4 linked regions of the Lonchura striata genome follow. The main gene of each other region encodes a partner of the protein of the gene in region 2 in a complex. Links are inferred from orthologs where the notes say so. Each region holds a gene or a part of one and is shown on either strand. Other genes may lie near its edges. The genes, in order: TMEM107, CEP290, coiled-coil and C2 domain-containing protein 2A and TMEM67.

Region 1 (7,450 bases), on a different chromosome or scaffold from region 2:
ACCCCAAAAATCCCCCCAAAATATCCCAAAATAACCCCAAAAATCCCCCCAAAATATCCCAAAATAACCCCAAAAATCCCGCCCAGAACCTGCGGGGAGAAGGGGTGAGAGAAACCCCAAAATCCCCCAAAATATCCCAAAATAACCCAAAAATCCCCGAAAATATCCCAAAATAACCCCAAAATCCCCCAAAATATCCCAAAATAACCCCAAAAATCCCCAAAATTCCCCCCAAAATAACCCCAAAATCCCCCCCAGAACCTGCGGGAGAAGGGGTGAGAGAAACCCCAAAATCCCCCCAAAATATCCCCAAAAATCCCCCCAAAATATCCCAAAATAACCCCAAAAATCCCCCCAAAATATCCCAAAATAACCCCAAAAATCCCCCAAAATATCCCAAAATAACCCCAAAAATCCCCCCCAGAACCTGCGGGAGAAGGGGTGAGAGAAACCCAAAAATCCCCCCAAAATATCCCAAAATAACCCCAAAAATCCCCCCAAAATATCCCAAAATAACCCCAAAATCCCCCAAAATATCCCAAAATAACCCCAAAAATCCCCCCCAGAACCTGCGGGAGAAGGGGTGAGAAAAACCCAAAAATCCCCCCAAAATATCCCAAAATAACCCCAAAAATCCCCCCAAAATATCCCAAAAAAACCCCAAAAATCCCCCCCAGAACCTGCGGGGAGAAGGGGTGAGAGAAACCCCAAAATCCCCCCAAAATATCCCAAAATAACCCCAAAATCCCCCCAAAATATCCCAAAATAACCCCAAAAATCCCCCCAAAATATCCCAAAATAACCCCAAAAATCCCCCAAAATATCCCAAAATAACCCCAAAATCCCCCCAAAATATCCCCAAAAAAACCCCAAAAATCCCCCCAAAATATCCCAAAATAACCCCAAAAATCCCGCCCAGAACCTGCGGGGAGAAGGGGTGAGAGAAACCCCAAAATCCCCCAAAATATCCCAAAATAACCCAAAAATCCCCGAAAATATCCCAAAATAACCCCAAAATCCCCCAAAATATCCCAAAATAACCCCAAAAATCCCCCCCAGAACCTGCGGGGAGAAGGGGTGAGAAAAACCCCAAAATATCCCAAAATAACCCCAAAAATCCCCCCCAGAACCTGCGGGAGAAGGGGTGAGAGAAACCCAAAAATCCCCCAAAATATCCCAAAATAACCCCAAAAATCCCCCCAAAATATCCCAAAATAACCCCAAAAATCCCCCCAAAATATCCCAAAATAACCCCAAAAATCCCCCCAAAATATCCCAAAATAACCCCAAAATTCCCCCCAGAACCTGCGGGAGAAGGGGTGAGAGAAACCCAAAAATCCCCCAAAATATCCCAAAATAACCCAAAAATCCCCCAAAATATCCCAAAATAACCCCAAAAATCCCCCCCAGAACCTGCGGGAGAAGGGGTGAGAGAAACCCCAAAATCCCCCCAAAATATCCCAAAATAACCCCAAAATCCCCCCAGAACCTGCGGGAGAAGGGGTGAGAGAAACCCAAAAATCCCCCAAAATATCCCAAAATAACCCCAAAAATCCCCCCAAAATATCCCAAAATAACCCCAAAAATCCCCCAAAATATCCCAAAATAACCCCAAAAATCCCGCCCAGAACCTGCGGGGAGAAGGGGTGAGAGAAACCCCAAAATCCCCAAAATTCCCCCCAAAATAACCCCAAAATCCCCCCAAAAAATCCCAAAATCCTCCCGAAATTCCCCAAAATTCCCCCGGAAAATTCCCAAAAAATTCCCCCCAGAGACCCTTGTGGGAGCACTGGTCCATACTGGTCTGTACTGGTTTATACTGGTTTATACTGGTTTATACTGGTTATAATTGTTTATACTGGTCTATACTGGTCTGCACTGGTCTGTACTGGTTTATACTGGTCTATAATTGTTTATACTGGTCTGTACTAGTTTATACTGGTCTATACTGGTTTATACTGGTTATAATTGTTTATACTGGTTTATACTGGTTTGTACTGGTCTATACTGGTCTGTACTGGTTTTTACTGGCCTATACTGGTTTATACAGGTCTATACTGGTTTATACTGGTCTATAATTGTTTATACTGGTTTATACTGGTCTATACTGGTTTATACTGGTCTATAATTGTTTATACTGGTTTATACTGGTCTGTACTGGTCTATATTGGTTTACACTGGTCTATACTGGTTTGTACTGGTCTGAACTGGTCTCACTCACCCCGGCTCTGTCTCCCCCGAGGGCAGCGTGGGCGGGGCCTGGAGAAAGGGGCGGGGTCAGGACAAGACACGCCCACCCTCATTAGCATACACTGCCCCCGCCCATGCTCATTAGCATGCACGGACCCCGCCCATGCTCATTAGCATGCACGGACCCCGCCCATGCTCATTAGCATACACTGACCCCGCCCATGCTCAATAGCATGCACTGACCCCGCCCATGCTCATTAGCATACACTGACCCCGCCCATGCTCATTAGCATACACTGACCCCGCCCATGCTCATTAGCATGCACTGACACCGCACATGCTCATTAGCATACACTGACCCCGCCCATGCTCATTAGCATACACTGACCCCGCCCATTCTCATTAGCATACAGTGACCCCGCCCATGCTCATTAGCACACACTGACCCCGCCCATGCTCATTAGCATACACTGACCCCGCCCATGCTCATTAGCATGCACTGACACCGCACATGCTCATTAGCATGCACTGACCCCGCCCATGCTCATTAGCATACACTGACCCCGCCCATGCTCATTAGCATACACTGACCCCGCCCGTGCTCATTAGCATACACTGACCCCGCCCATGCTCATTAGCATGCACTGACACCGCACATGCTCATTAGCATGCACTGACCCCGCCCATGCTCATTAGCATACACTGACCCCGCCCATGCTCATTAGCATGCACTGACCCCGCCCATGCTCATTAGCATACACTGACCCCGCCCATGCTCATTAGCATACACTGACCCCGCCCATGCTCATTAGCATACACTGACCCCGCCCATGCTCATTAGCATACACTGACCCCGCCCATGCTCATTAGCATACACTGACCCCGCCCATGCTCATTAGCATACACTGACCCCGCCCATGCTCATTAGCATGCACTGACACTGCCCATGCTCATTAGCATACACTGACCCCGCCCATGCTCATTAGCATGCACTGACCCCGCCCATGCTCATTAGCATGCCCAGGTGCGCCACCATCGCCAGGAACCGCCCGGGCAGCAGCAACGCCATTGGCTGGAACGAGGCAGGGGGCGGGGCCTGGGGAGGGGGAGGGGCTTAGACCGCCCCTCCCCCTCCCCTTTGGCACCTCCCCCACCCTTTTAGCCCCTCCTTCCCCTCCCCCACCCATGGGACCCCCTCCTTCCCCTCCCCCACCCATGGGTGCCCCTCATTTCCCTCCCCCACCCATGGGACCCCCTCATTCCCCTCCCCCACCCATGGGTGCCCCTCATTTCCCTCCCCCACCCATGGGACCCCCTCATTCCCCTCCCCCCGCTTTTTTAGCCCCTCCCCCACCTCGCGCTCTCCCTCCCCCCCACCAAATGGCCAGAACGGGACCTCCGAGACCCCTCCCCCACCCTGGGGACCCTTCCCCCACCCTAGGGACCCCTCCCCCTCCCCCGGGACCCCTCCCCCACCCCGGAATTCCCGCGTTTTCCTCCCCTCCCCCCGCCCCGCGCGGCGCTGTTACCGCGGCAACGGAGCAGGCCACGCCCACCGCCCTGGCCACGCCCACCGCCCCTGGCCACGCCCACCGCCCTGGTCACGCCCACCGCCCTGGCCACGCCCATCGCCCTGGCCACGCCCACCGCCGCGCCCAAAGCTTGCCCGTCACACAGGCCACGCCCACCAAGGCCACGCCCACTTGATAGGCCACGCCCACCGGAAAGTGGCCACGCCCCCTCCCGGAGATTGGGGTGGGGATGCTGGGCTGGACTGGGTTATACTGGGATATACTGGGAAATACTGGGAAATACTGGGTTATACTGGGATATACTGGGATGTACTGGGTTACACTGCGTTAAACTGGGATATACTGAAATATACTGGGTTATACTGGGTTGTACTGGGTTATACTGGGTTATATTTGGATATATGGGGTTATACTGGGATGTACTGGTTATACTGGGATATACTGGGTTATACTGGGTTATACTGGGATGTACTGGGTTATACTGGGATGTACTGGGTTATACTGGGTTATACTGGGCTATACTGGGCTATACTGGGTTATACTGGGATGTACTGGGTTATACTGGGTTATACTGGGCTATACTGGGTTATACTGGGCTATACTGGGTTATACTGGGACATACTGGGTTATACTGAAATATACTGGGATATACTGGGCTATACTGGGATATACTGGGTTATACTGGGCTATACTTGGATATACTGGGCTGGACTGGTTTATATTGGGTTATACTGGGATATACTGGAGCATACTGGTTTAAACTGGGCTGGACTGGTTTATACTGGGCTGGACTGGGTTATACTGGGCTGGGCTGGGTCATAGAGGCCTGTACTGGTTTATACTGGTTTATACTGGGCTGGGCTGGGTCATAGAGGCCTGTACTGGTTTATACTGGGTTATACTGGTTTATACTGGGTTATACTGGGCTAGATTGGTTTATATTGGGTTATACTGGGTTATGCTGGGTTATACTGGGCTGGACTGGGTTATACTGGACTGTGCTGGGTCACAGAGGCCTGTACTAGTTTATACTGGGATATACTGGGCTGGGCTGGGTCATAGAGGCCTGTACTGGTTTATACTGGGTTATACTGGGCTGGGCTGGGTCATAGAGGCCTGTACTGGTTTATACTGGGATATACTGGGCTGGGCTGGGTCATAGAGGCCTGTACTGGTTTATACTGGGATATACTGGGCTGGGCTGGGTCATAGAGGCCTGTACTGGTTTATACTGGGTTATACTGGGCTGGGCTGGGTCACAGAGGCCTGTACTGGTTTATACTGGGTTATACTGGTTTATACTGGGTTATACTGGGCTAGATTGGTTTATATTGGGTTATGCTGGGCTGGACTGGGTTATACTGGGCTGAGCTGGGTCATAGAGGCCTGTACTGGTTTATACTGGGTTATACTGGGCTGGGCTGGGTCACAGAGGCCTGTACTGGTTTATACTGGCTTGTACTGGTTCATACTGGTTTATACTGGTCTGTATTAAACCGCAGTGCCTCACACCGGTTTATGCTTGTCCCTAATGGTCTGAACTGATCCATAACAGCCCATACTGGTCTATACTGGTTTATACTGGTGCATACTGGTCCGTACTGGTCCCCCGCGCCCCCCCCGCTCTCTGATTGGCCGCCGCCCCTCTTGGCCCCGCCCCTGTTGCCGGGCTGAACGGCCGCGCACAAAATGGCCGCCTCCCCACGTGACCGCGCGTTCCCCGCGCTGATTGGCCGTTCACCTCTCCGGCAGCGACCAATCAGCGGCGAGTCACGCGCGGGTGGGCGGAACGGCCGAGTGGGGGAGGCGGGGTGAAGGCGCGCCGGTGGGGGGGCGTGGCTTCGCGTGGCATCGACCAATGGGCGCGCAGCGCGCGCTGGGGAGGCGGGGATTCGTGGGGCGCTCACCAATGGGAGCGCGGCGCGCGTCCTGGGGGGCGGGGATGAAGGCGGCGCGGACCAATGGGAGCGCGGCGCGAGCGGGCGGCGGCCAATGGGAGCGCGCGGGGGAAATTTGAAGCGGCGGCGGCGGCGGCGGGCGGCGAGTGAGGGGCGGGAATTGGGGGCGATTTTGGGGGGATTTGGGGGGGATTTGGGGGGTCCCGGGGGGATTTAGGGGGTCCTGAGGGGGCTCCTAAGGGAAATTGGGGGATTCTGAGGAGATATCGAGGGAGTTGGGGGGTTCTGAGTGGAACTGAGGGGGTTTCTGAGGGGGATTGGGGAGTTTGGAGGGGAATTAAGGGGTCCCGAGGGGGGATTGGGGGGTCCTGAGGGGATATTGAGGGGAATTGGGGGGTCCTGAGAGGTTATTGTGGGGAATTGGGGGGTGCTGAGGGGAATTAGGGGGTCCTGAGGGGTTCTTGAGGGGAATTGGGGGGTCCTGAGGGGGAATTAGGGGGTCCTGAGGGGTTCTGAGGGGATTTAGGGGGTCCTGAGGGGGGATTTGGGGGTTCTGGAGGGATTTCTGAGGGAACTGGGGGGTTCTGAGTGCATTTGGGGGGTTCTGAGGGGGTTTCTGAAGGGAATTGGGGCACCCTGAGGAGATATTGAGGGAACTGGGGGGTCCTGAGAGGTTATTGGGGGGAATTGGGGGGTTCTGGGGGGAATTAGGGGGTCCTGAGGGGATTTCTGAGGGGATTTTGGAAATCCTGAGGAGATATTGAGGGAATTGGGGGGTCCTAGGGGGGTACTGGGGGGTCCTGAGGAGAACTGGGGGGTTTCTGAGGGGAATTAGGGGGTCCTGAGGGGTTCTTGAGGGGAATTTGGGGGTGCTGAGGGGGGATTTGGGGGTCCTGAGGGGGAATTGGGGGTCCTGAGGGGGAATTGGGGGTGCTGAGGGGGGATTTGGGGGTGCTGAGGGGATTTCTAAGGGAAATTGGGGGGTTCTGAGTGGAACTGGGGGGTTCTGAGGGGGTTTCTGAAGGGATTTGGGGCACCCTGAGGAGATATTGAGGGAATTGGGGGGTCCTGAGAGGTTATTGGGGGGAATTGGGGGGCTTTGAGGGGAATTAGGGGGTCCTGAGGGGATTTCTGAGGGTATTGGGGGGTCCTGAGTGGGTATTTGGGGGTCCTGGGGGGTATTTGGGGGTCCTGAGGGGTATTTGGGGGTCCTGAGGGGTATTTGGGGGTCCTGAGGGGTTCTTGAGGGGAATTTGGGGGTCCTGCAGGGAGATTTGGGGGTGCTGAGGGGGAATTTGGGGGTCCTGAGGGGATTTCTGGGGGGAATTTGGGGGTCCTGCAGGGAGATTTGGGGGGTCTTGAGGGGGAATTGGGGGGTCCTGGGGGATTTATGAGAAAAATTTGGGGGTCCTGATGGGATTTGGGGGGTCCTGAAGGGAACTGGGGGATCCAGAGGGGGTCCCTGCTGGATTTTGGGGGGTCCCCGCTGGATTTTGGGGGTCCCTGCTGGATTTTGGGGGTCCCCAATGGATTTTGGGGGTCCCCGCTGGATTTTGGGGGTTCTCTGCTGGATTTTGGGGGGTCCCCGATGGATTTTGGGGTGTCCCCAGTGGATTTTGGGGGTTCTCTGCTGGATTTTGGGGGTCCCCGCTGGATTTTGGGGGGTCCCTGCTGGATTTTGGGGGGTCCCCACTGGATTTTGGGGGTCCCTGCCGGATTTTGGGGTCCCCCTGACCCTCCGTGCTCCCCAGGATGGCTCAGAAGGAGAACGTGGCCCCCGGCCTGACCAAGGTGAGACCCCCCGTCCCCCTCCCCAATTTGGGGTTTTTG
Region 2 (7,965 bases):
AACCTAACAAAAGAGACAAAAGTGGTTTTACACTAATATCAATGAAATACACAAAATAAATCTTTCATGCATGTGAAGGACCAGAAATGGTTTAGGGAAGAAGGTACAACAAAACCCTCAAGTTCCCTTCTTCTCAAGCACCTTGACCATGATATCCAGCAATCTGTCTGCTAGCTCCTCTTGATGAGGCAGAGTATCTGGATCAACTTTCATGAGCTTCCTCCAATCTAAAACAGGTGCCATATTGAAGGTATGACTTCTTTTTTCCTGGAACAAAGATTAAAATAACAGTTATCAGGTATTATCAGTGCAAACCAATTTTAGGTCAAATGATTTAATGGAGGCTGGCCACTGAACACACCAGATGACTTCTAATAACTGTAACACTGATCAACATTCTGTTCACATTTTGATCTATTGCAATCTAGGAGGCTATAATAAAAATACTTTTTCTTTATGTTAAGAATTACACCATCCGTACTCAATGAATTCTTAAAACTATTAGTGAAGATCAGGACACACATGAAACCTGTATGTTAACTTCAATATCCTTGTTTTCTTCCCTATCTTTTAATTTGGTATTTTTATGCCAGTGAACAAACACAAGAATTATTATCTCTAATATTTAAAACACAACACTTTCAGTTTGATACTGTGAGCACCAACTTCTTGACATTGTATTAAACATTTATTTTTGGTTAGAATACTTGAATTGACAAAGGACATTAATAAACCTGGAAACTGAGAAAAATCTCATCAGAAAGTGGTGTAAAGCTTTTTCTACTGCTTACCTACTGGTTGTTGTGGGCCACAGTGATTTCTCACATACCTGAAAGTCAATGCAGTATCTGAAAAAGGCAGAAGGGATAGGAAATCTTGGATTATTCTGTTCTTTGGAGCTGTCTCTAGACTTTCTGATCAATATTTCAAAAAGTAAATTCTGCCAAATTTAGAACAGAATATATTTAATCGACTTATTGCCCTAAATTATTATTATAGCACAAATGGTTAATAAAAATTAAGAAAGAAATAAAGCTAACTACAATAGTAAATGCAGTATTATTCAAAAAAACTAATGACACAGCAGGGGTATATATTTTATAGGAAAAAATCAAGCTCAATCAATAACTTCAGCAATGCTGTATACGGAATACAGCATTTTGAGATCTGATCCAGCACACACCCTGTTCCTCATTCAGCAGTTTAAAGACTCAACAACTGAAACCTCCTTCATTAATAAAAGGCTGAAACTGATATTACTTTCCAAAACAAATATGTCTAAGCACTCCGAAAGAAGAGCTGTCACAGAAATACAACTGTACACTTAATGGAGGATAAAAAAAACCTTCATCCTTTCTGAGTATGTGAACTACTTGAAAGGTCCCCTATATTTACTAAATTTCTTCAATATTTGCTAATCATATAACATGTATTATATTCAACCCATGACTTCACAAGGATAACACCTTGTATACATTATTGCTTTTCTGTTTTGTTGTAATGGCAAAGGATAATCCAAGGAGAATACTGGCACTTTGACTCATTCAGTTAACTGAATACTACTTGATTTCAGCAACATACTTGTCTAAGGATCAAAAGTCTTAAACACATTCATTTTTTCTTAAGTAATGAGATGTAAAATTTAGGATTTTTAAATGCTCAACAATCAAAACTATTCTGAAAGCAAACACACAAACTCACTACTGTTAATCCTTTCCTACCTTCCATCTCTTCATATATCTTTTCCCCTTAGCTTACAAAATAATGTCCTAAGAAAATATCAGTCCTAAAGTTTTATCCAGAAGGATAAAACATAATTGAATTGTACATAAACAACTGAATCCAACTTGGTGGGAGAGCAGCTACAGTAAAGTAGGGGGGCACAACCTATGCACGGATTATGTTCCACAGTATATACATAGTGTGAAAGAATTTATTTAAGTGAAAAGTTTTTCATCATTTTGCTCATCTGTTGTCATCAACTAAAACCCGTGGTTTTAGTAAACAGATGATCCATGTGATGAAGCGCTGAGCTCATGGGTCTACAAAATGTGTGAAATAGATGGGGATTTGGTATTAGTTACCACAAGATTTTCTGGATTTATCCAGGGAATTAAGCACACATAAAACGGCCAGATAAAGTTCAGCAGACTTAGATGGAAAAGGAAGTCTGGAGGGTATGCTCAAGTACTACCAGAACAACAGTGCCCTGGTCTGACTACAGGAAACCACGCGAGCCAAGCTCACATGGAAATATCTTACCATTGCAGTGAGATCAAGCACCACTGGGAAGAGCTGACCTTTTCCCACCAGGGTGTGTATAATGGGCAGCAGAGTAATGTGCACAGGAGGGAGACTTAACATCAAGAAGCACCACAGTCACGCGGGAGATGTGATCTGCTAACTCCGCATTTGTTTACACTGGGTATTCCAGTTTAAGCTGCTTTCGACTTTCAAATTGCATTTACCCGGAGTAGCTCTGCGAAGCACAAGATCTTAATTACAAAACCCCAATCAAGAGAGGATCTTCGCAGGTTCCCATTGTTTCCTGTTTGGCATACCCCAGACACAGGATACAGTGACAGCCCGGGATCCCTCCAGGATGCTGCTGAGACAGCTTTGTCCCCGTTTCATCGCAGCTCTACTGAACTAACAGTTTGCCTTATTCTGCACTCGCCCCCGCAGCGAGGCGCGCAGAGCAGCAGCCGCGGGCAGACGCGGCGGTCGCTCCAGCCGCGGGCTCCGCCGCCCGCGCCGCCCGGGGCCCGCAGGAGCGGAGAGCCCCGCCGCCCCCGGCCCGGGGCTCCCGGCGGAGCGCGGGCCGCTCGGGCTGCGGCAGCTTCGGTCTCCTTGCCCGGAGCACCCCCCGCCCCGTGGCCTCACCGCTCCCGGGGGATGACGGTGGCCGCTGCCAGGCGACGCCATCGGACTCTCCCGCAGATCCGGATACTCGTGGGCGCAGGGAAAGTCAGCGCTTCCGTGGCACCCACAGACAAGCCCCACGGCGCCAAGCGGGCTCTCCCGGTCCCGATGGGCAGCCAAGCGGGCAGGGCGCGATCCCCGCCGACAGCGCCGCTTCGCCGGGGCAACGGCCCCTAGCGCCGCCCCCGCCACCGGGCGGGGTCTACGGGACTACAGCTCCCGGCATGCATCCGGGCCGACCGCACCGCCCGCCTTTTTCCCGACAGCCTCTAGGGGGCGGAGAGCGGCGCGGCGCGCGTGCGCCGTGTGCGGCGGCGGCGGCGCGCGCGGTGGGTGTCGGTTCCGGCGGCGGGGCCGCGGTCCCGGTCCCGGTCCCGGTGTTTGTCCCGGCCTCAGGTAGGGCGGGCACGGCCCCTGCGGCCCGCCACGGGCCTTGCCGGGGATGGGGGGAGGAAGGGAGGGTGGAGGGGTCCGGTGTAGCTGCTGCCCGCGGTGGTTTCGGTCCGCCGGCCGTGCCCGCCGTGCCGCGTCGCTGGGCACCCGCGCCTGCCGCGCTGCCGGGCGGCCCCGACCGCTGCCACGGCGCTTGAGCGGCGTCCGGGACCGCGCCCTGGCTCCGCCGCCCAGCCTGCCCTTTCCTTCCCTGCCTCGCCCCAAGCTGCGGGCAGCGTGTCGGTTCCTGCCCGGCCGGCGGCTGCCCGGGTGCGCCTGTGCTTTGGGAATACGGAGGGAACAGTGGGGGCCGGAAGGCACGGGAAAAATCACACCTATAAACTACTTGAATCCATTGGGTACTGTTAGCCAGCAAGTCTGAGTTTTGGTTGTGGTCTGATAACGGAGGAAGTTTGGGATCCTGTGTTTTAGTTAAATGGGTGTGAAAACATCTTATCAAATAAAAACAGTACCATTGTAGGCGTGTTTATCTTTTTGCATTTGTTTTTTCAATAGCTGTGGAGAGCTGAAGTGGATTTGGGGTTTTTGTTTCTTTTTAATGGTAAGAGAAAGGTCCTTTTTTTTTCGTCCTTTTTTTGGATTAATAATTGTTTTCAGTTGTTTTGCTATCTCTTAATCCATGTTGATGTTTACTAGAGACTGACAAGATGCAAAATGCCTTGCACTCCTTATAGTTATGCAGTTGTTCCAGTCACAGCACAACTCCAAAGACTTCCATATCTCAGCTAGGGGTTGGATAATTATAGTTCTGTATTAGGTACAGAAAGCAAACTGTATACTTAGGGAAGGGAAGAAGACTGGGTATATTTAATGAATGGGTAATGTTACTAAAAATTAAAAAATTATAAAATTAATTATGATTAAGTGTAAAACAATGATTTCTTAGTAGCAGGGAATTTTATAGGTATAGGAAGTGACACAGAAAATAATGTCACCTTAGTCACAAACTAAGCCTTCAGGAAAGGAATATTTCTGTGGTAGAGAAAATATTCCATTGATGCTAGAATGCTTCTGTATAGGAGGTTTTTTTTAAAATCATCATCATCATAACCAGTTGTTAATGCCAGTGTAGCTATTTAATGTACTTTATTTAATATGCATCAGCATTTTTGAGTGTTCTGTTGCAGAATCAGCAGAGAGCATGTTATTACATTTACTGGTAGTGAAACCATATCTGGGTTTCAATTGTGTAGTGCAGCTAGTAAAGACCATTGGTGCAGAAGTAAAAGGTATTTGGATTTGAAGCTGGCATGGGAACTCCAAAAGTTAAAAAACAGTAAAAGGAATTGAAGTATTAATGCCAAATGAAAATGAAAATATTCAAAATACAGCATGGCATGGACCAAGTAAATTAGTTTTTCTTATGTTTTGCACCACTTCATATGATGAACTTTGTGTAAGTGAATCTTCTTTTAGTGGGATTAGATACTTACAGTTCTGGAGCCAATAAATAAATTCAACTGCACAGTGAGCGGTTTGACCTACTCTGTTAGAAGAGTTAGGCATACTTGTTAAATCACAGCTTTGATAACAGTGTGCCCTTGCAAAGACCTAACAGAAAAACCTCACCCTGAAAAGCCTAATGGAATGTTATTTAAAGTACGGAGGAAATCGTATACAGACCCAGCGTAAGTAAGGACAGAGTAGCAGAGTCTAAAGGCTGTGTTCTCAGTTTATACCTCACATGTAGCTTTTGTTCATTTATTCTTTGGAGTAAACAAGCAAGCAGTTTCTGCTGTTGCATTTCTGGAACACTGAGAGCGATAAGTGTTATTTTAGAGACACTTTTTGTATCAGTAAGGCCACAAAAGATGTTTTATGTAGTCACTAAACAGACTGGGTATTATTTTGCTACTGTTTAACATTGAAATGTGAGATTCTGTTACTAATTTAAGTTTCTAAGTCCTTAAAGTACAAGCAAGACCTGTGTGGTTTATATTTCAAGTGGCATGTACCAGTTACATTGAACAAATTGAAGATAAACCACCAGCTAAATCAGTATCTTTGTCTCACCCATTTTAAACTGTGTTACATTTTGGTCCTTGTTTCATCAGAGTAACCTAAGATGTCACAACTGTTAGTCCAGCCGCCAGGTGGCCAGCAAGTTCTTTTCCAGTGGGAGATCTTTCATCTGGCTTGCAACACGTGTTCTGACTTTGTATCAGAACTTCCAGTGCTCTTCTCATTAATCCTTCAGAACCATGTGAAGAGAAGGCTGGAGGCCATGAGCTTCCTATATAGTGAAGAGTATTTCCTAGTAGTCCCATGCCTCTTGATCTGGTAGTGAAAACCTTGCAGAAGGTTTTCACAATAAAACTTTTCGTGTAATATTTATCCTGGTTTAGGATTTCAGCAAGATAAAAAGGAAATTCAGGCATGTTTTGTATTATTTCTCCTTTCATATTTCCAAATACTTGTTTTCTAGATGAGATTCAAGCCCAATCTCAGCTGTGCATCTAAGTTGCTTCATATTGGAGTTGTGTCTTGGAAGTGGCAAAAATAAGCAAAGGCTAGCAAGTAGGAAATAAAAATATCATTTTAATTCAGCTTCTGAGGCTGTGCTAATATCCTAATTTGTAAGTGACTGTACCAGCGGTTTGTATATATCTCTGCTGATGTTCAGCTACCAGCTCTTAGATGAACTAGTTGCTCACCTGTTTAAAAATAGTTGCTCACCTATTTAAAAATAAAAGTAACCCTAGGAGTGGTTTTAACAGCTTTTAACTTTATCACCTTTGATAATTTGAAGGTTTTTTGCGTGAACTGTAAATAATGTTCTAAGCAGTTCAGAACCTTCAGTGATGAATAAAGTTTGTGTCTAGTACATAAATATCCAGTATTGCCTCATTATTCTTTAGTAAATTGGCTTAGCACGTTGTTAATGCCTTTCAATCCATGCAAGTGCCATTACTCAATAGAAGAAACAAATTTAAATGTATGTTTGTGTTTTCTTATATTCTAAAAGTGCTTTGACTATTTTGGTCGTTGTTACTTTGTTTTTTCTCGGTGCTTTTTTTCAGTTTTGTGAGACTCTTACGTTTTACTCTTGTCTGTTATTCTTGAAGACTGCGTGAAGTATTAGATTGATCTCAAGAAGCTGGAACAGGAAAACTATGTACTTTATGAGCCAAATGGACTTGAGAGTTCTGGTTCTATTTTGTCCTTTCCATTTAATGTCTCTGTACAAATGTGAAAATGGTGCAGTGCAAAGTGCAGATTTCTGTGCCAAACAGCCTCAGAAATTTAGTCCAATGATAGGCTGTTTTGCAGCCTGGGTATTCTTTCTTTTGCAGTTGACTCTGATGACTACAGTGCATTTTCTGACTATCAAGGTTTACCTTGCTGTTCATTGTTTTCATCTGTATATTCTTCATGATGGTCAGATATTGTTGTAAATTAAAGTATCCAATAGAAGTCTTTGTAATATAGTATGTCTGTCCTGATTTCATCCAGTCTGTGGCTGTGCACTAGACCAAAAGCTGGCAGTCATACCCAAGGGGTGGTTAAGGTATCTGAGGGGCAGTCTTAGAAGCTGTCAAAGTAGTAGGTAGGTGAGATGAAAAAATAACCTGAGGGATGTTCAGTCTGTTTGCATGTTTAGGACTAGGCAGTGATGTGGAACAAGGGCAGTTCACCCTTGCAGCAAGTCTCTTTTAACAAAGAAGTTGTTAAGCAACATTTTGCAGGTGTTTATCAAATACATCCATCACTGGATGTGAAGTTCTGGCACTTGCAAGACCATACTTGGGTTGATCAGCATGTCACTTGGGTATAAGAAGGAGAATTATTTCCACTCACGTGAGCAGCCCAGTCATATCAAGGCTTCAGCAGCCTCTTGCACGTCTGTGATTTGCAAGGATCTCAGTCTTATATACTCCTTACATGGCTTCTTACTTTCCAACATCAAACTGATAATAGATTGGTTGGTGTGAAAGCAATTTTGGTTGCCAAGAAGCAGTTGCTGTTTTCCACTGAGTTTAATGGCAGTCATACTTTCGCCTGGCTTACCAAGTACAGATGATCTTTTATAAACCTCTGCTTTAGTTTTGCATTCTCAACATGTTGGTGATCATTGCAGGTTTGGAGTTTGGAGTGTGAAGGTGGACCCAGCTACAGTAGCAGATAGGAGGTGGTAGTTCTGATGGCAAGACTTGCTCAAAATCTGCATTGTTATGCTAACATAAAGGAATGCAATTTTTTTATTCCATATTTATGCTTTAAGTCAGCAAAAGCATTAAAAGTACCCTGTAATCAAAGCAGGTGGAAAAAAGTAATTTTCGTAACTCTGTGTATCATTATGGTACATTTCAAGAAAATAAGACCTTAGAATGCCAGAATGCAAGTCAGAAGTAGTAAAGTACCTGTGCTGCAATTTTGTGCAATCTACAAGTTCTACATGGCCTTACATTTTCCATTTTTCTCTTTGTGCTTAGCCTGGAAGCAGAGTGATTGAATATGGGGGCTTTAACAGATTTCCATTATGCCTCTTGCTTTTTAAGTCCTAGTGCTTTAGCACACAAATAAAATTTGAGAGTGGTGTGGTGTGATGCTTTAGAGGTTACCAAGTTTGGTACAATTCAAGCAGTATGT
Region 3 (7,876 bases), on a different chromosome or scaffold from region 2:
ACCCTCTGCTGAACCCTGGCTTCAATAGGGATCTAACTTACAAAGTATGTTCTCAAGGACATAATAGAATTATAGAACAGTTTGTCTTGGAAGAGACCTTTAAAAGTCATCTAGTCCAACCCCCCTGCAATCATCAGGCACATCTTCAACTAGATCGCTTTGCTTACAGCCCTGTTCAACCTGGCCTTGAATGTTTTCAGGGATGGGGCATTGACGACCACCTCTCTAGACAACCAGTTCCAGTGTTTTGCCATCATCATTATTAAAAATGTCTTCTTTCTGTCTGTTTTAAATCTACCCTATTTTAGTTTAAAGCCATATCCTCTTGTCCTATTGCAACAGGCCCTACTAAACACTCTGTCTCCATCTTTTGCAAAAGTACCACCTTTAAGTACTGACTTTCAGCACTTCATAGGAGAGTTGCTCCAGATCTTTGATTGCCTTTGTGGTCTCTTCTGAACCTGCTCCAGGATGTCCATGTCTGTCCTCACTGAAGACCCCAGATTTGGACACAGCATTCCAGGTGGGATCTCACAAGAGTGTAGTAGAGAGGCATAAGCACCTCTCTTGACCTGCTGGCCATGCTGCTTTTGATTCTTTAGACCTGCCACCTTAACAGACTGCAACAAGGTCCAGGAAAGCTTTTTGAATGTTTTTCCAGTATTAAATGAATCAGATAACTTTAAGAACTCACTTGGAAAATCTGCTTCTGTCTTCGTTCGACAAGACAGGAGTCTGTGAAAGAGGGCAAAGCCTCCTGTGCAATGGAGAACGGCAAACCCCCCTCCCTCTGAATTACCAGGATCTTTAAATTAAAAGGCTCTCAGGCAAAGATGTGGGAATGGGAGTAACAATTCTTTACTAGGAGAAAACTAGACAACAATTTAAAAAGGCAAATGCAATCGGTACAAACAAAACCAGTGAAAAAAAAAGTCCAGAACCTGAGGAGTCGGGGTGCCAGTAGCAGTTCTGCTGGGACAATTGATCCCCTTGCAGTGGTTGATGAATTGCAGCTGAAGTGGTGATCTTTAGAAGGGTATAGTTTTCCTCTGAAGATCTGGTGGCAGTGGGGCCGGTCTTCCTCTGCGCCGGGGTTGCCTCTGAGCTCCGCCGCCGCCTCCCTGTGCCCCGGCTGTTTCGCTGCGAGATCCCGCGAAAGAAGAGAGAGCGCTGCTTCTCTGGGAATCCCGCGAAGAGAGAGAGCGAGCTGCTTCTCTCGGAGTCCCGCCCAGAGAGCTGCCTCTCTCCCCAAAAAGCTACCCCTTTATACAATAATAGAGTGCTTGGCTTCCCCCTCTGGGTGGGACCCCTCACGGTGTTACATTTACCAGCCCTGCATTGAATCAGTCAATGGCCCACTAACAAACCATTACCTCTTAGGAGCAAAACCGGTTCTTGGAAAAGATAACAAAACCTGTCCAACAGGTTTGCCTTCAACAGATGGCAAATAGAATACAAGCTTATCTTACAACCTAGGACAGCTTCAGAAACCATTCTTAGCAAACTGGTCTAGTGAAAAGTGCCCCTGCCCACAGCAGGGAGGCTGGAACTAGATGATCTTAAAGGTCCCTTCCAACACAGACCATCCCATGATTCTATGACTATAACTGATCAGCATGTCCATCATCTTCCAGTGAATGCCTTGATCTGCATTCTTCCTCTACCTAGTGGATTTGAAACTTATTGAAATGCCATTTCCTAAATGTGGAATAACATTATTCTAACTCTGAGTTTATATAATTTTCATTATTATTTTTGGTAATGGCTATGATGAAGATGTATGCTATTGTTCTGAAGAAGAATACCATGTGCTTATTCTGGCTTGCAGTTTTTGGAAAAATACACTGAACTTCTCAAATGTTGTTTTTCTCTGGAGACAAATCACTTGGCATGTATAAATGACTTTGTTTCCTACCCCAGTTTATGGACAAAAGTTTTTTATCTTTGAAAAGGACAACCAAAAGCCAAGAACAAAGTGTTATTTATGGTTCACATTCTGCCTCCCAGTTAACTCTCTGTGAACAAATATTTAACTACAACAATAAAACTATAACAATAGATGACTCCTGACAAAGTGATTTGGGAAGTCTATTATACCCTCTAACTTCTTAAAACCATGTGAACTGAAATCTCTTTGGCCTCCTAAGTCAGCCTGAACTTTCAAAAGCCATGGTCATATGTTCTTTTTCACCTTTAATGTTTCAGTGATGCTTTTAATGGCACTCACTGGGAAACAGGGGGCATGGGTTCAACACTGTTCTCCCTTCCGTGGTCTGAGGAGATTTCTTTTTTAGTTGTTTTACAAGAGACTGCAATAACAGACAGGCACCCCCTCCTTATAAGTTGACTACTGTTATGCACAAAAAAATGCAAGAGTCTGAATTCAAAGGGCAAGAGAATTCCTGATTCTCTGGCTTAATGCATGGTTTCCCAAATGTAATTTTTTGGCTCCCACTGTTGGAAGTAGCTTTCTGTGTTTCCCCAAGAATAAATTCAGGTCTGTAAACATCATCACCTCAACCATTATCATAATTTTCTCCCAAGCCCAGCTCTGTTTGCCTAACTGCAGTCCTACCATTCAGCTACACAGCCCCTCACTCCTTAAGACCCCCAACACATAGATGAAATCTCTGTATATTGTCCTCTATGCTTTCTCCATCCCAAACTGGTTCTCCAAACACCATGCCCCAGGCATCTAAGGTACATCCCTACACTCCTATCTCAACAACCATATTCCCCTCACCTTCCCCAAATGACATTTTTCCCATGGTCTTTTCAGAAATACATGTCGCAAACTAATTAATTTCCTGTAGGCACATGAGAAGAACAGCAGGGGAGGTCTGGGAGCTGGAGACAGCTTCACAAATCAATAAGGTACTGGCCAGCCAGTGACAGGAACAGCTGTGTGAAGTTTTTTACTCTGATTTGTAAAATATCCTTGACACTGGCAAAACTAGAAATTGTTGAGATTATTTTTGCCTGGCTTACATGCAACACAGTGTGGGAATATCCAGCCTACTGATTCAGACTTTCATCTGGCAAAGGGCAGGATTTTTTTCCAGTCCTTGATCCTTAGGTCATGTCTGCTTCTTATCCATCAGCTTTGTGTAAAATGCATATGCAGCTTTAAGCATGAAGTCCCTCCAAGTTGCTCCCTCCTGGCTAAGTGTTTGAAGTTTTTCTTTTCTGCAAAGAGTTTTTTGTCCCTGATTTAAGTCCCATGAAAGTCCATAAGCTTTTTTTGAGTTTTCTCAGTAGTACATCAGAGCAAACGTCTTTGTGAGGTTTGTCTTGTAGCTAACAACTGCCTTGGAGTCATCATTCACTGCTCTGCTGTATTGTTCAGCATTCATATGCTAATCCATTTGTGGAGACTGCTATGCGTGACTGTATGGTAAGGTTTTATCAAATAACAGCAAAATTAATAGTTTGGTTTCTGCCAATTTGATGCAAGATGTCTAAAATGAAAAGCAAAATATCTATCACCAAAGAGAATTTTGGAGCATTATTTCTCTCCAAAAGATTTTCGTCTTTTTAACTGCATTACCACTGGTACCATAACAGTTTCTAATTTTCCGCTCTTTAAAATAAAAGATTCTTCATAAAGACTGTGTATATGTATGTGTATATGTATATGTGCATGTATATACATATATGCTGATCATTTCCTTGCTGAATAGACCTGACCATGCCATCCTTATAGCAGCTGAAACACCATGAACTGCAAATAAATGTAATGGCTTGGGGTTTTAAATAAATCAGTTAATGTTAATCATTATCACAGAGGGGAGAATGAGAACAACAATTTCTAGATTAAAAGGCTCTGCAGAGGGATGCTGGATCAGTGGGCTGAGGCTGGTTGTGTGAGGTTCAACAAAGTGCCAGGTCCTGCAACCCCAGGCAGCACCACAGGCTGGGGGTAGAGTGGCTGGAAAGCTGCCCAGTGGAAAAGGACCTGGGGGTGCTGGTGACAGTGACTGACCACGAGCCAGCTGTGCCCAGGTGGCCAAGAAGGCCAATGGCACCTGGGCTGTCCCAGCAGCAGTGTGGCCAGTGGGACCAGGGCAGTGATTGTCCCCCCATACTGGGCACTGGTGAGGCCACTCCTCAAATCCTGTGTTCAGCTTTGGAACCCCACTTCAAGAAATCTATTGAGGTGCTGGAGCTTGTCCAGGGAAGGGCAGCAGAGCTGATGAAGGGTCTGGAGCACAGGTCCTATGAAGAGCTACTGAGGGAGCTGTTTAGCCCTAAGGTTTGGGGGAGACCTTATCACATTGTACAACTCCCTGAAAGGAGGTGGTAGCCAGGTGGGGGTCAGTCTCATCTCCCAGGGAACAAGTGACGGGGTGAAAGGAAATAATGTCAAATTGTGGCACTGGAGGTTTAGATTGAGTAGCAGGAAATCTGTCTTCACTGGTTTCACAGAAAGGCTTGACTAGCATTGGAACAGGCTGCCCAGGAAGGTGGCAGAGTCACCATCTCTGGAAGAGAAATGTGGATTTTCAAGAAACATGTGGATTTTACATTGTTTAGTGATGAGTATGGTGATGATGTTAGGTGGATGTCTGGACTCAATAATCTTATCTTAAAGGTCTTTTCCAACCTTAATTATTAGTCTGTGATTCACTGTTAAGAAAAGATAGACTGCATTTCACAAACATTTTTCTCAATCGCCCATTCTGTTTTTTCTCTTTCTTCCCACAGAAACCTGTGGATTCTGATTTCCTTGAATGCTGTAAATTAGCTCTGACAGAATGGACAGCTCCAATAAAAAAACTCACACAAATTTTCTGAGAAGACATCAAAGGAACTAGAAATAACAGCTTGACTTGAAGGTTCTCACCTGACCCATGACTGACTCTCTGCTAATGCAACACTAAATTTAAGACGCCTTTGTATATCAGGTACTGCAATTATTCAGCATGTCACTGTTTATACAGTTACTTTTCTTTAGTATCCCAGTACACAGTGGGACAGAGAAATCTAATTTTTATCCAGTCGCTTATGAAAACACCCAAATACCATATATTAGGATTTAACCAATTTTCTTGCAAGATATTGCAACACAGTTCATTGTATATGACAGCCCAAGCCAGGTTTAAAAAACTCAGCCTGATAGCAGTCCATTCACACTCCACCATCCCCTGCAGGGCAGGGCAGCTGCCTGGTTCCACCTGACAGATGAGGGTGAAGTGTTTATTTGTGCTGTTTCCAAGGGGACCTGAAGCTGTAGCTCTCTAACTGCCATCCTTTCTCCAGCTTCAGCAAGTTTCTGCTGCAGTTATTTAAGATGGAGATTAATTTGCCACCATAAGTGCAAATTTCAAAATGAAATGAAGGTGTAAGCTTTATCCTCACTAACTCCCTGCAGCAAGAAGGGTTTTATCTGTAAAGTTTATATAGGGACCAAAGACAAAATACTATGCATTCAAAGATCTTTGAATTGAAAAAAAATCCAGATTATTTTTTCACATGTCAACATTTGGCCCCAAAAAGCTGATATTCACCAGTTACACTATGTCAGTCTACAGCTACTTACTTGAAAGACAAACAGCAACATGTAAGGCGCCCAGAAAAAGCTCCAACCTCACACTTTCCTCCTTGCCTCCTACACGGATTTTGGTAATGCAGAAATTTCAGGCTGAGGTCTGCACCTCTACTTGTGCATAATGCATCACAGTGTCACGCTTATTTGCATATGACAAGAGTGTCTTACTAAACTTTTTTTTCCAGATCTGAGGATGTTTGTGTTGCTGTACATTACAAGTTTTGCCATCTACACAAGCGAACAGCCTCTTCAAAGCCAGACCAAAGGAGAAAATTACTACACCAGATACATCTGCAGCATCCCAGGTTTGCCAGGCCCTGCCGGCCCCCCTGGAGCCAGCGGATCCCCGGGGCCTCATGGACGCATTGGTCTTCCAGGAAGAGATGGCAGAGATGGCAGGAAGGGAGAAAAAGGTGAAAAAGGGAGTGCAGGTACTGATTATTTGTGTAACCTAACACAGTAGTGCAAGAAAACAAGACCTTTCATCATCACTGTTATCATCATCACTATATCTATCTATCTATCTATCTATCTATCTATCTATCTATCTATCTATCTATCTATTTATTTATCTATCTATCTATCTATCTGTTTATCTATCTATCTATCTATGTATATATAGGTATATATATATCTGTATATTTATATAGATGAGTGTGTGTATGTGTCTGTGTGGGTTTAAGTGTGATGCATATATAAATACAGTAAGAGTATGCACATATATCAGTGTAAAGAAATGTAAATGCACAACCTTTCTTTGCACAGATGCTAAGAAAAGATTTGGAAAGAATGAAGCATGCTTGGTGCCCCACCTGTGCCATTAGCCAGTTGTTAATAATTAGAAGGTTCTTAGGTATGCACTAAAAATGCTCTATTTTTAGGAAATATTTAGCACACAAGTATAACTACGTAGGTAGTCATGCTGCTGTCCCTGCCATCAGTAGTGCCTGTTAGTTCAGGCGGCAATAGACTGATTACATATAACATTCTTTAATGTGTAATCAAGACACATGAAGATAAGTAGGAATTACTGGCATTCCTTTTTCAAACTTACTAGAAAACTTTGAAAGTATTTCTAGATATTTTGAAATTCTGACCATGTTTTTCTTGTTTGTTCAGGTACACGCAGTAGCCCACACAATCATTTACTGAGGTGATATGTATTAACGATTAACTAACTTAAAATGTTTTTGAAGGTTTAAGAGGAAAGACTGGGCCCTTAGGACCAGCTGGAGAGAAAGGAGACCAAGGTCAGTCTGGTAAGAAAGGACCTGGAGGACTGACTGGTGCCAAAGGTGAAGTAGGTCCAGCTGGACCACCTGGACCTAAGGGAGATAAAGGAGACCGAGGAGAGCCAGGTGCACCAGGGGTCTGCAAGTGTGGAAAGATAGTGCTGAAATCTGCCTTTTCTGTTGGCATCACCACAAGCTACCCAGAGGAAAGACTACCAATTGTATTCAATAAAGTCCTCTTCAATGAGGGGGAGCATTACAACCCGTCCACAGGGAAGTTCATTTGTGCCATCCCAGGGATTTATTATTTTTCTTACGATATCACCTTAGCCAACAAGCATCTTGCGATTGGGCTGGTGCACAATGGCAAGTACCGGATCAAGACTTTTGATGCCAACACCGGCAACCACGACGTTGCTTCTGGATCCACAGTGATCTACCTTCAGCCAGAAGATGAAGTATGGCTTGAAATCTTCTACACTGACCAAAATGGTCTCTTTTCTGATCCAACATGGGCAGACAGTTTGTTTTCTGGATTTCTCTTATATGTTGATACAGACTACCTTGATGCTTTATCAGATGAAGATGAGCTCTGAAGCAGATGTCAAATGACATTCAAACTGGAGGCCCCAGCATAGGATTTTATTCATCTGTGTGGGGAAAACAAAGTTGAAATGAAAAAAAAAATCTCTGGGTGTTCATTCTTGTTTTGATTGGAACCAAATCTGAGCTCGTAAGAATGTTCTAGAACCTAGGATGGATTTTTTTTTTTTTAACGAACAGCAGGGATATCAAAATGAACTGTAATGAACAAAAGACTGCATCACTCCAGGACTGATTCTTTCCTAAAATTACATTTATAATACTATTTAAACAAATTTAAGATACTGTACATTGGATTTGATATAAAATGTATTATTTTGCATTTTAGAATGGTTATTTTGTATATTACATTAAAGTAAAATTGAACAATTCACTGCAATATCATTGTTGGTCATTTTAAGATGGGCAATGCATTTAAAACAGATAGGAGAGGAATAAAATAGGAATCACTGCTTCAGGATGCCACTGCACAGGTCACAAGACCAGTCTCGTG
Region 4 (8,279 bases), on a different chromosome or scaffold from region 2:
CAGATAAAAAACACCGAGGAGAATGAAGACAACTGCTCATCCTCAAGCGCTACTGATGTGACTCCCTTCTCCATTATGACTATTTTATCTTTGCAAAAGCCTTGGCAGCAGATCAAAGGCAAATGCCACCATAGCAGTAAAGTGGAAAAAAAAGCAAAAGATCACAACACGAAAGGATATGTGCCAAAGTCTTTGTCTAACACAGCAAGAAGATGGAAAGAAAAGGGAGGTTACCAACATAGCCCATTAGCCACTGAACACCTAACTCAGGCAAGTAAGCTGCTCTCCTGGGAGTTCTTCTATAGCTATTGAAGAGAAAGAAGTATTCAGGAATGCTTCAAATGTTGATTTGATGGAAAAATACATTTCTTTGCTTACTATAGTGGGGAAAATCTGGTTTAGCCTGCTGTTTCGGGATCAGTGCTGAGATTATGACAAAAAATTATAACTTAATTTGTCAAGGAATGTCAGAAGAACTGATCAAACTATAATTTTAATTAAAGTAACATAGTAGGAACAGCTCATTTTGAAGTAAGAAGATGAAATATTCTGGATTATGAAGATACAGCCTAAATATTACAGTAATAGTATTTACATAAATAATCAGTTAAGATACCTATGAGCTGAAAAGCATCTTTAACAAGGTATAGAGTTGTGCTCTCTAGACAAGGACAAAGCAGAGAAGAAAAGCAGTGGAAAGAACTTAAATGCTTAAAAAATTATTATTTTGTCTGTGGGGCCAAATTTGTAATGAAAAAAGCCTACAAAATAATAGAAATAGACAACTCTAAATTGAAAAAAAATACTACATATTAGCATGTTCTTAAAAATTCCCAATGAAAGACTATTATGCAAAAATATTTTAAATTAATGAAAAATAACTTGCAGTCAGGATAAAATTTAATATCCCATAATGATTATGATTTGTATTCTATCATTATGGCAAACATGAAACATTCAATACTTACCATATTTTCTGGGCATTTTTCACAAGTAACAGAGAACCCATCATTACTAGAAACCATCCTGTATCCTGGTTCACATTCACAGGAACTACCTGAAGGAAAAAAAAAACAACAAATGCACTTTTAAGCTATATAGAACTGACAGGTTGCAACAGAATACTAAGAATAAATACTATTGTTCTCAAGAGATCAAGATGGATTATTAGAGACATAAAACACTTGAGTGAGATGTGAATGAAAATCATCCTGCTTTTTAAAAAACGCCGATGTTACAGTTTGCACATAGATGTTTTAGGAGAATGTTACACGGCCTCTGATCTACCAGGGTGGAACAGGGACCCAGAGCTTGTATTTTGTGGTTTGTTTTTTTTTTTTTAATTAAACCAAATTTTACCAGTTGGTCTGTAATAGATATAATCTCTCCATTAAATCTTGCCACAACCTTTCCCTCTACAACATAAAACACATTACGTGTTTTTATGTAGGTTTTACTTTTTCAATTTGAAGTCAGCCCTAAAACCAAAATGTGTTCCTGTGAAAAGGTTTTTCAAAATACAACTGTTGCATGAAAAACTGTTTTAAACCCAAGACTTTTAAAATTGTGCATGGGGATCAAGGTTTATATTGAATGGTTTCCAGTGAGTGAACAAAAAATACTTAATATTTTGTATGAAATTAAACACTATTTTAATGGAACAGTATAATGCCCATCTACTAGTGCTAAACAGTTTTTTTAGAAACTTTCCCTCTCTCAGTGTAATGAATTTCCCTCTGTATTTTTAAACACATAGCAGAAAACAAAATTGATTATATGTACTAATGAACTTTTTCTATTGTTGAAGCTTACTGAACTGTGCAGGCAAAAATAATGTCAAATTCTGTGGGAAGTTTATCACTTTAAAGTACATTCTAATGAGACCAGCTGTACAGAAACATTTGTTAAAGTGATCAAACATTTCTACTTAATTCTAAAGAAGAAAAAGCCCAATTGGATTAGATAAATGAAAAGTTTGAGTTGTGACACTCACAGTGACAATACCTAGATTTTTAGGCATGTGACCTAACACCAGAATCCAGACTGATGAGCTAGCCAAGATGGCCCAATTCCACTTGGGCTAGCCAGTGGAATTGGGCAATCTCAAGTGGAATTCAGTAAAGATGCAAACAGCACTGAGCAGCACCTACCTACACTGCTCCAGTTACATCTACAGGAAAAAATTAACCCTTGACCTCTCCTTGGAATTTTCCTCTCCTTGAAGCCCTTTATTTAGAGGAAGATTCAGCCTAAAAAGGAGTTAAGGATCTAGGCACCCTCGTTATCAGGGCATCTGAAAATACTGTATTTTCTTCCAGGAAGTGAAATATGGGGTTCATGGTGGTGGTGAAGGTGAGCAGTTTTCAGGCAGCAGCTGTGAACACAGCCCTGCCCATCACTACTTCCACCCAAACAACCAGCTCTGGACAGAGATGTTGTCAGGTCTTAGTCTCAAATTTGTACACAGGGAACTCCTACTCTTGTTGGACTGTGTATTTTATGAAAGATTAACCCCTTAACACCTCTTTATGGCCAAAAGAAAGCAGCCAACTACCTGTATTTTCCATTTAGTACTGTCAGGCTGTGCTGTATGTGCTCCAAGTTCCCGTGTGGGACTTGGACTAGAACAGGCACAGCCTGAGGATCTCAGACACTTGGTATCTCGGACATTCAAGTCTGACAAGGAGTTTCAAGGTACAGAAGTGCTCGAGAACATAAATTCAGGGTCCTGTAGAATTTCACAGATGAAAATGCAAATACAATATAACGCTCGAGGAAAAGAAAGGTTATTAGAAAAAGGTTGAAAGTAATTTCTCTGAGCTGTATCTCGGACACATCGCGGCTGTCTCAGAGCCGCCCTCGGGCGCGTTCCAGCGCCAGGGCCGGAGCCCGGCTGAGCACCTCCCGCTGCTGGGGACGGGTTCAGCCGGAGCCGCCCGAGCCCGCCTCCCCCACCGCTCACCGCCGGCGCTCTGCCGCTGGTGGGCCCCGCAGGGCGCGCAGGCCAGGCGGGAGCTGTCGAAGTAGCGGTCGGCGCCGCAGTCGGCGGGGCGCTGGAGCGGGACGGAGAAGGCGCGGGCGGGGCGCGGCGCCGCGGCCAGCGCCAGCAGCAGCGCGGCGGCGGCGGCCCCGCGGCCCCGCGTCGCCATGGCCACCGCGCGCGCCGCCCGCGCGCGCCCATTGGCCAGAGCCGCGCGGTACGGCGAGCGCCGGGGGCCCGCCGCCGCAACAAGCGAAGCGTCCGCGGGGCGCGGCGAAGGAGGGCGCGGCGGCCGGAGTTGATGCGTTTGGCTCGCGGAGAGTTTTGTGCGTCTTGTGCGGGACCAGGAGCCAGAAACGAGAGGACACCCCGGCCCGGTTTGCACTTTCCGGTACCTCGTTTCCTGAACTGATGCACAGTGCATCATCCAAATGGAACAGGTGCTTGTAACTTCTCCCCAGAGAGGGTAACAAGGTGAAAATACAAAATGCCGAGAGCAGTGGATGCTCAGCCAGTGTTACTGTTATACCTTTGTGACACTCTTGTTCACGTCCCACAGAAGCACAGAATGAGTCCAGTTGGAAAGGACCATAGCGGGGGGCTTGGTCCAACCTGCCTGCTCAAGCAGGATCATCCCAGAGCACATGGCACAGCTCTGTGACCAGAGCTCCTGAGTATCGCCAGTGAGGGAGACTCCACAGCCTCTCTGAGCAGTCTGTTCCAGTGCACCCGCGCAGTGAAGTTCTTCACGCTCAGGTGGAGCTTTCTCTGCAGGTTTCTGCCTGTTGCCTTTTGTCTCATTCCCTCAGTTGTTACCAAAACTTTGCAACACACTGTGTCCTGGATTTTAGTTATTTCTCATTGTGCCTCTCCTGCGTGCTAGTCGCCTTATGATTTTCAACATTAGCATGTTTTGTTTCTCACTGGATTTATTTTCTTGGCTCAACAACTATTAAAAGGTTGAGTTTATGTTTTCAAATCAAATTACCTGTCCCTAGGCTCACGTTCATGTAAATTTGATTGTGTAAAGACATAACTTCTTAGTGGTGTGCTTGATTTGTGGAAACCCCCACCTTGTACCCTGCACAAAATAAACAATGTCTTTTTTCTAAACGAGACTATCCGTGTTGAAACACATCCTAAAGTCGGTAACATTTCTAGGTGAATCTACCATAAACAGCACAGGGATGTTTTTCCTACATAAAATGGAGCAGACAAGTACTGGGTATACATAAAAAGACAAAGAACGTAAAGTCAGAGAAGGCAGGTAGGATAAACATTAGGATAAGTATACCTCGCTTGCACAACCAAAGTACTCGGCCTCTTCCCTTCCCTTTACTTAATCTTGAACCTTTCCTCTTTCTCCTCCGTTCCTCCATCCCTGCCTTCCCTTCCTCTCCCAGCCCAGGCAGGAGCCAGCCCCGAGCTGCGTTACAAATCGTGTCCAGGCATCCAAAGAGCCGTGAGGGGCGCCTGAGGCGCGGCACGCGCCGGCCCCGACGGGAACGAGCCTGAGCACAGCGCACCGTGCGGCGGCGGCGCTCGGTCACCGTGTGCCCGATCTCTACACACGGCTCTGTCGCCGCGCAGGTCTGTCACTGTGCCTATCCACAGACACAGCGATCTATCATTGCACAGCTCCCTCAGACCGACTTAAACGGGCACCGCACACCCCGCGCCGGGGCGGAGAGCGCATGCGCACTGCCTGCGGCGCGGCTCGCGCCCGCGCGCCGGTGGGGCACGCGGCCTGCGCACGCGCACTGCAGCGGAGGGGGCGGAGTCGCCCTGCCCGGAGGGTGCGCGCGCAGCTCCGCGCTCGCGCAGCTCCGCTTCCCCTCAGCGTTGGGGGGGGCAGGGGAGGCGGCGCCATCTTGGCAGAGCCGTGCCGGGAGTTGCGGGGCCCGTCCGAGCGGCGTGTCCGGTGGGTGCGTGGATGGATGGCGTGAGGGACAAAGCACGCCTCCCCGGGGTGCGACGTGTGGTCGAGGGCGCCGCACAGTTTGCTGGTTCTCGGTTACCCGACCCTCGCGGAACCGGTGCGCGGCTGCTCCGTGTGCCCCGGCCTTCTCGTGTCCCTGGGCTTCCCACCACAGTTCCCCGCTCGCGTTGCTTCCCGTCGCCCTGTCCCGGTGTCGGGAAGCAGGCGGGCGTCTGCGTGGGGGCGGGGCACCGGCGGCCGTGACGGGGTGTGGCGCGGGGCGGCCTCCCCTCGCCCCGTGCCCCCCGCCCCGTGCCCCTCGCCCCGTGCCCCCCGCCCGCTCCCGGCCCGGCCGCCCGCCCGGGTCTCCAGCAGCGCTGGTGCCGGCGGGGCGACTGGCTCGGGAGCGGTCCCGTGCTACATTCGATCGTGTAGCAGGCTCAGCTGCAGGGCTCACTCGTGTTTTCCTTCAGCACTGTGAAAACTGCTATTCGCAGCAGACTGCTTCCTCTATTAAGACTTATTTGAAGTACAAAATAAGAAACCATCCCGTTTCGCTGGTTATTCTATATTGGTCCAGTTTCATAGACGGGATGGTTCTGTGGGTGTTCTTTCTAGCTTGCAGTCTGTTTAATCTTTCAGTGTTATGATAAAAATCCTAGTCTAGTGCAGACTTAGTTTCCTACCGCGTTTACAAGTTGTGAAGTATTTTAATGGCTTTAATGTTTGGAATTTCCTGAAACTGTGGAAGAATAGGCATTGTATTGTTTTCTAGCCAATTTTACTCATATATAAAATTTCATAAAACTGTACACTTCTGTGTTTTTAAGCTGTGGCATGAAGTTGTTTATTTATTCTCCAAATCCTTGCTCTCTGAAGTCCTTGTTCAGTTAATGAATTGCTCTTACTTTTCATGACAAGTCAACTCTTTTAGGTTATGCTCTTTAAACTTGGATGGCTTGTCTGTGCTTTCTGTCTGTATGTGATGGTTTACTATACAGTCAGTAAGAGCTATTATTTGAACTTGCATTTGTTTATGGACTTCTTGGAGGTCCCATTTTGATCTGGGACCACTGTGTCTGGTCTTCACCACTGAAGGTTATGTATTGTATCTCTGGTTCATCATCAAGAACTTGCTGTTTATCACCGAAGAATTATGGAGGAGAGCTGTTGTGAATTTTGCTTAAAAATTGGGATATGAAAGCGGAGTTGTTAATCCAGAAGTACTACAGATTAAATACATCATGAAGTAGCAGGGCAGCGGATTTGCTTTATCAAGACATGAAGGTGCTGTATGAAAATGCTGCTCTTGAATTCTCCATGCTTTTTTGGCACTGTCATTGCATCTGTTGAGAAGACACATTATAAAGTGTTCTGGGTCTGGCTGGGATGGAGTTAACGTTCTTCACAGCAACCCATACAGTTCAGTTTGGATTTGTGGCTAAAAGAATGCTGACAACGCATCAGTGTTTTGACTGTGGCTGAACAGCACTTGCACAGTATCAAGGCCTTATCAATTTCCCTTCTCCGTTCCTGCAGTGAATGTGCGCAGAGTAGGTGAGAAGCTGGGAGGGAACGTGGCTGGGACAGCTGACCCAAACTCACCAAAGGGACATTCTGTGACATGTAACGTTGTGCTGGGCAAAAAAAAAAAACAGGTAGAGGAAGAAGGATTTTAATGGTTTTGGTTTCTTTGGGAGGTTTTTTCTTGGCTCTCAAAGCAGTTGTTATTTGAAGGAAGGCTGGACATCAGTCAGCCTGTGGGAGGTGGTGACTGATTTCCTTTGTTTTGTGTTTTTCTTTCCACTGATGAAACTGTCTTTATCTTGATCCACAAGTTTTCTTGACTTTGTTCTTTCCCATCCTGCTGATGGGGATGAGTGAACAATCAGCTGTGTGGGTGCTTGGCTGATGGCTGGGGTCGACTCGCCACAAAAGTACAGAGAACAGATGGTCTTTAGTGAAGTTTCTAAATGGGCAGTTGTTTTCGGTTTGTTGTGCTTACAGAGTACTGGTGCAGAAGTGACATGGAGTTCGTTAGTGACAGTATTTGGGCTTTGCTCTTGTTTTGCTACGTTCAGGTGGAGTGACAGTAATGGTTATTGGTAGGTAACTCATTGATAGGTAGATCCTATTGATAGGATCTAGTACTTTATTGAGCAAGGTTTGCAGGAGTGTTCTCAAATGCTTGGAGAATTGGGCTGTTGTGTTTATTTTAAAGGGATGTAGTCATTTGCTACAGAGGCTTGTGTTGTTCTGAGAATATTGTCCTATGTATTGTGTGATGTTAGAAAATGTTGAAAATCAGGATGTCTTGTTCTTATGTTTGAAAGGCAGTAGAGTAAGGATTTATGGAAAATACTGCAGTTGGCTTTGTAAATTCAAGTACTTCCTGAAGTTTCTCCTTGTTGGATATTTTTGCTCTCTCATTTGATGGGCTTCACTGTGTATGTGCTGGACTGGTGAGTAGCATACTCTTGTTGTGAAGTTTGAAACCAGGTGGATTTCAGAAGAATGGATGTGTCGTGTAATCCTGAGATGGACCTAAGCACCTTTCAAGAACTCAGTTGAGAACTGTTCTCTCGATACTCTGTCAGACTGTTTCATTGCAACAGTTCAGTGTGGCACAACTGAAGACCAAGTAATCTCATCGTATTTACATCGTTTCCAGAAGTCAACTTAAATTTTGAGTTTCTTTTTCTTCTATAATGGAAACAGAAAGATGTGGTGCATGGCATCTTGGAACATGGAAGGAGTTCTTCACATGGGTTCATAATATGCTTGGCTTTAGTATTAGCCACTGCTATGGATGGGCTGCAACAGTGTAGCACAGTGTGTAAAGCAAATTACAGGTATCAGCCATTAATTATGTTTCATTTTCTTTCCACAGTTAAGTTGATTTTACAGAATTTATCAGGTCTCCAAAGCAGAAACAGGTAAGCTGTCAAAAGCTTAACACTTCTCACTGAGTATTGTGACAAGATCATACACAGCCTTTTTTCCTCACAGACTAGTGGCTGGCAACTAAGATATGCTTGTGGCCACTGCAGTTAATACTCTGACTACGCCAAAGAGACAACATTTTTGAATGCTGAGAAAACATACATTATTGAACAGAACTGATACTGGGTAGAGCAACTTGTCAAAGCAGTAAAGTCACCACTGTTTGTGAGTTACTTCATTTTCCAGTGACATAGTTATTCTTTTTCCTGTCTCCTTTTATCAATTAGTGTCCTGTTCAAAAGTAAACTGGATTTTTTTTGTTCCTTAGGAGTGGGCAGAGATCTCTGGCATATAGAACTATGCTGTAAAAGACTTGAGGTGTTCTCTAGGTATTGTGGATGGTGAGGAGTGACTTAGGTGGATTTTGTTGCCATTAGG

The links.
Region 1: CEP290 (region 2) and TMEM107 share a complex: the UniProt entries of both Homo sapiens proteins name them as parts of the tectonic-like complex. The link is inferred for Lonchura striata from reciprocal best matches to the Homo sapiens genes CEP290 and TMEM107.
Region 3: CEP290 (region 2) and coiled-coil and C2 domain-containing protein 2A share a complex: the UniProt entries of both Homo sapiens proteins name them as parts of the tectonic-like complex. The link is inferred for Lonchura striata from reciprocal best matches to the Homo sapiens genes CEP290 and CC2D2A.
Region 4: CEP290 (region 2) and TMEM67 share a complex: the UniProt entries of both Homo sapiens proteins name them as parts of the tectonic-like complex. The link is inferred for Lonchura striata from reciprocal best matches to the Homo sapiens genes CEP290 and TMEM67.

Annotation. Positions count from the first base shown.
Region 1 is NC_134636.1:1,520,160-1,527,609, reverse strand, and holds the start of TMEM107 (transmembrane protein 107), read right to left. Parts: upstream 3,282-7,450; 5' UTR 3,260-3,281; coding exon 3,188-3,259; intron 2,260-3,187; coding exon 2,222-2,259; intron 1-2,221. Other genes in the region: aurora kinase C, read left to right, coding at 5,684-5,766, 7,372-7,411. UniProt on the Homo sapiens protein: Plays a role in cilia formation and embryonic patterning. Requires for normal Sonic hedgehog (Shh) signaling in the neural tube and acts in combination with GLI2 and GLI3 to pattern ventral and intermediate neuronal cell types.
Region 2 is NC_134607.1:51,705,027-51,712,991, forward strand, and holds the start of CEP290 (centrosomal protein of 290 kDa), read right to left. Parts: upstream 3,131-7,965; 5' UTR 2,884-3,130; intron 2,480-2,883; 5' UTR 2,263-2,479; intron 849-2,262; 5' UTR 792-848; intron 268-791; 5' UTR 244-267; coding exon 142-243; intron 4-141; coding exon 1-3. UniProt on the Homo sapiens protein: Involved in early and late steps in cilia formation. Its association with CCP110 is required for inhibition of primary cilia formation by CCP110.
Region 3 is NC_134606.1:15,063,497-15,071,372, forward strand, and holds the start of coiled-coil and C2 domain-containing protein 2A, read left to right. Parts: upstream 1-4,828; 5' UTR 4,829-4,904; intron 4,905-5,733; 5' UTR 5,734-5,741; coding exon 5,742-5,979; intron 5,980-6,744; coding exon of another isoform or gene 6,745-7,376; exon of another isoform or gene 7,377-7,482; intron 7,483-7,876. UniProt on the Homo sapiens protein: Component of the tectonic-like complex, a complex localized at the transition zone of primary cilia and acting as a barrier that prevents diffusion of transmembrane proteins between the cilia and plasma membranes.
Region 4 is NC_134603.1:24,491,808-24,500,086, forward strand, and holds the start of TMEM67 (meckelin), read right to left. Parts: upstream 3,062-8,279; 5' UTR 2,963-3,061; intron 1,058-2,962; 5' UTR 1,026-1,057; coding exon 969-1,025; intron 1-968. UniProt on the Homo sapiens protein: Required for ciliary structure and function. Part of the tectonic-like complex which is required for tissue-specific ciliogenesis and may regulate ciliary membrane composition.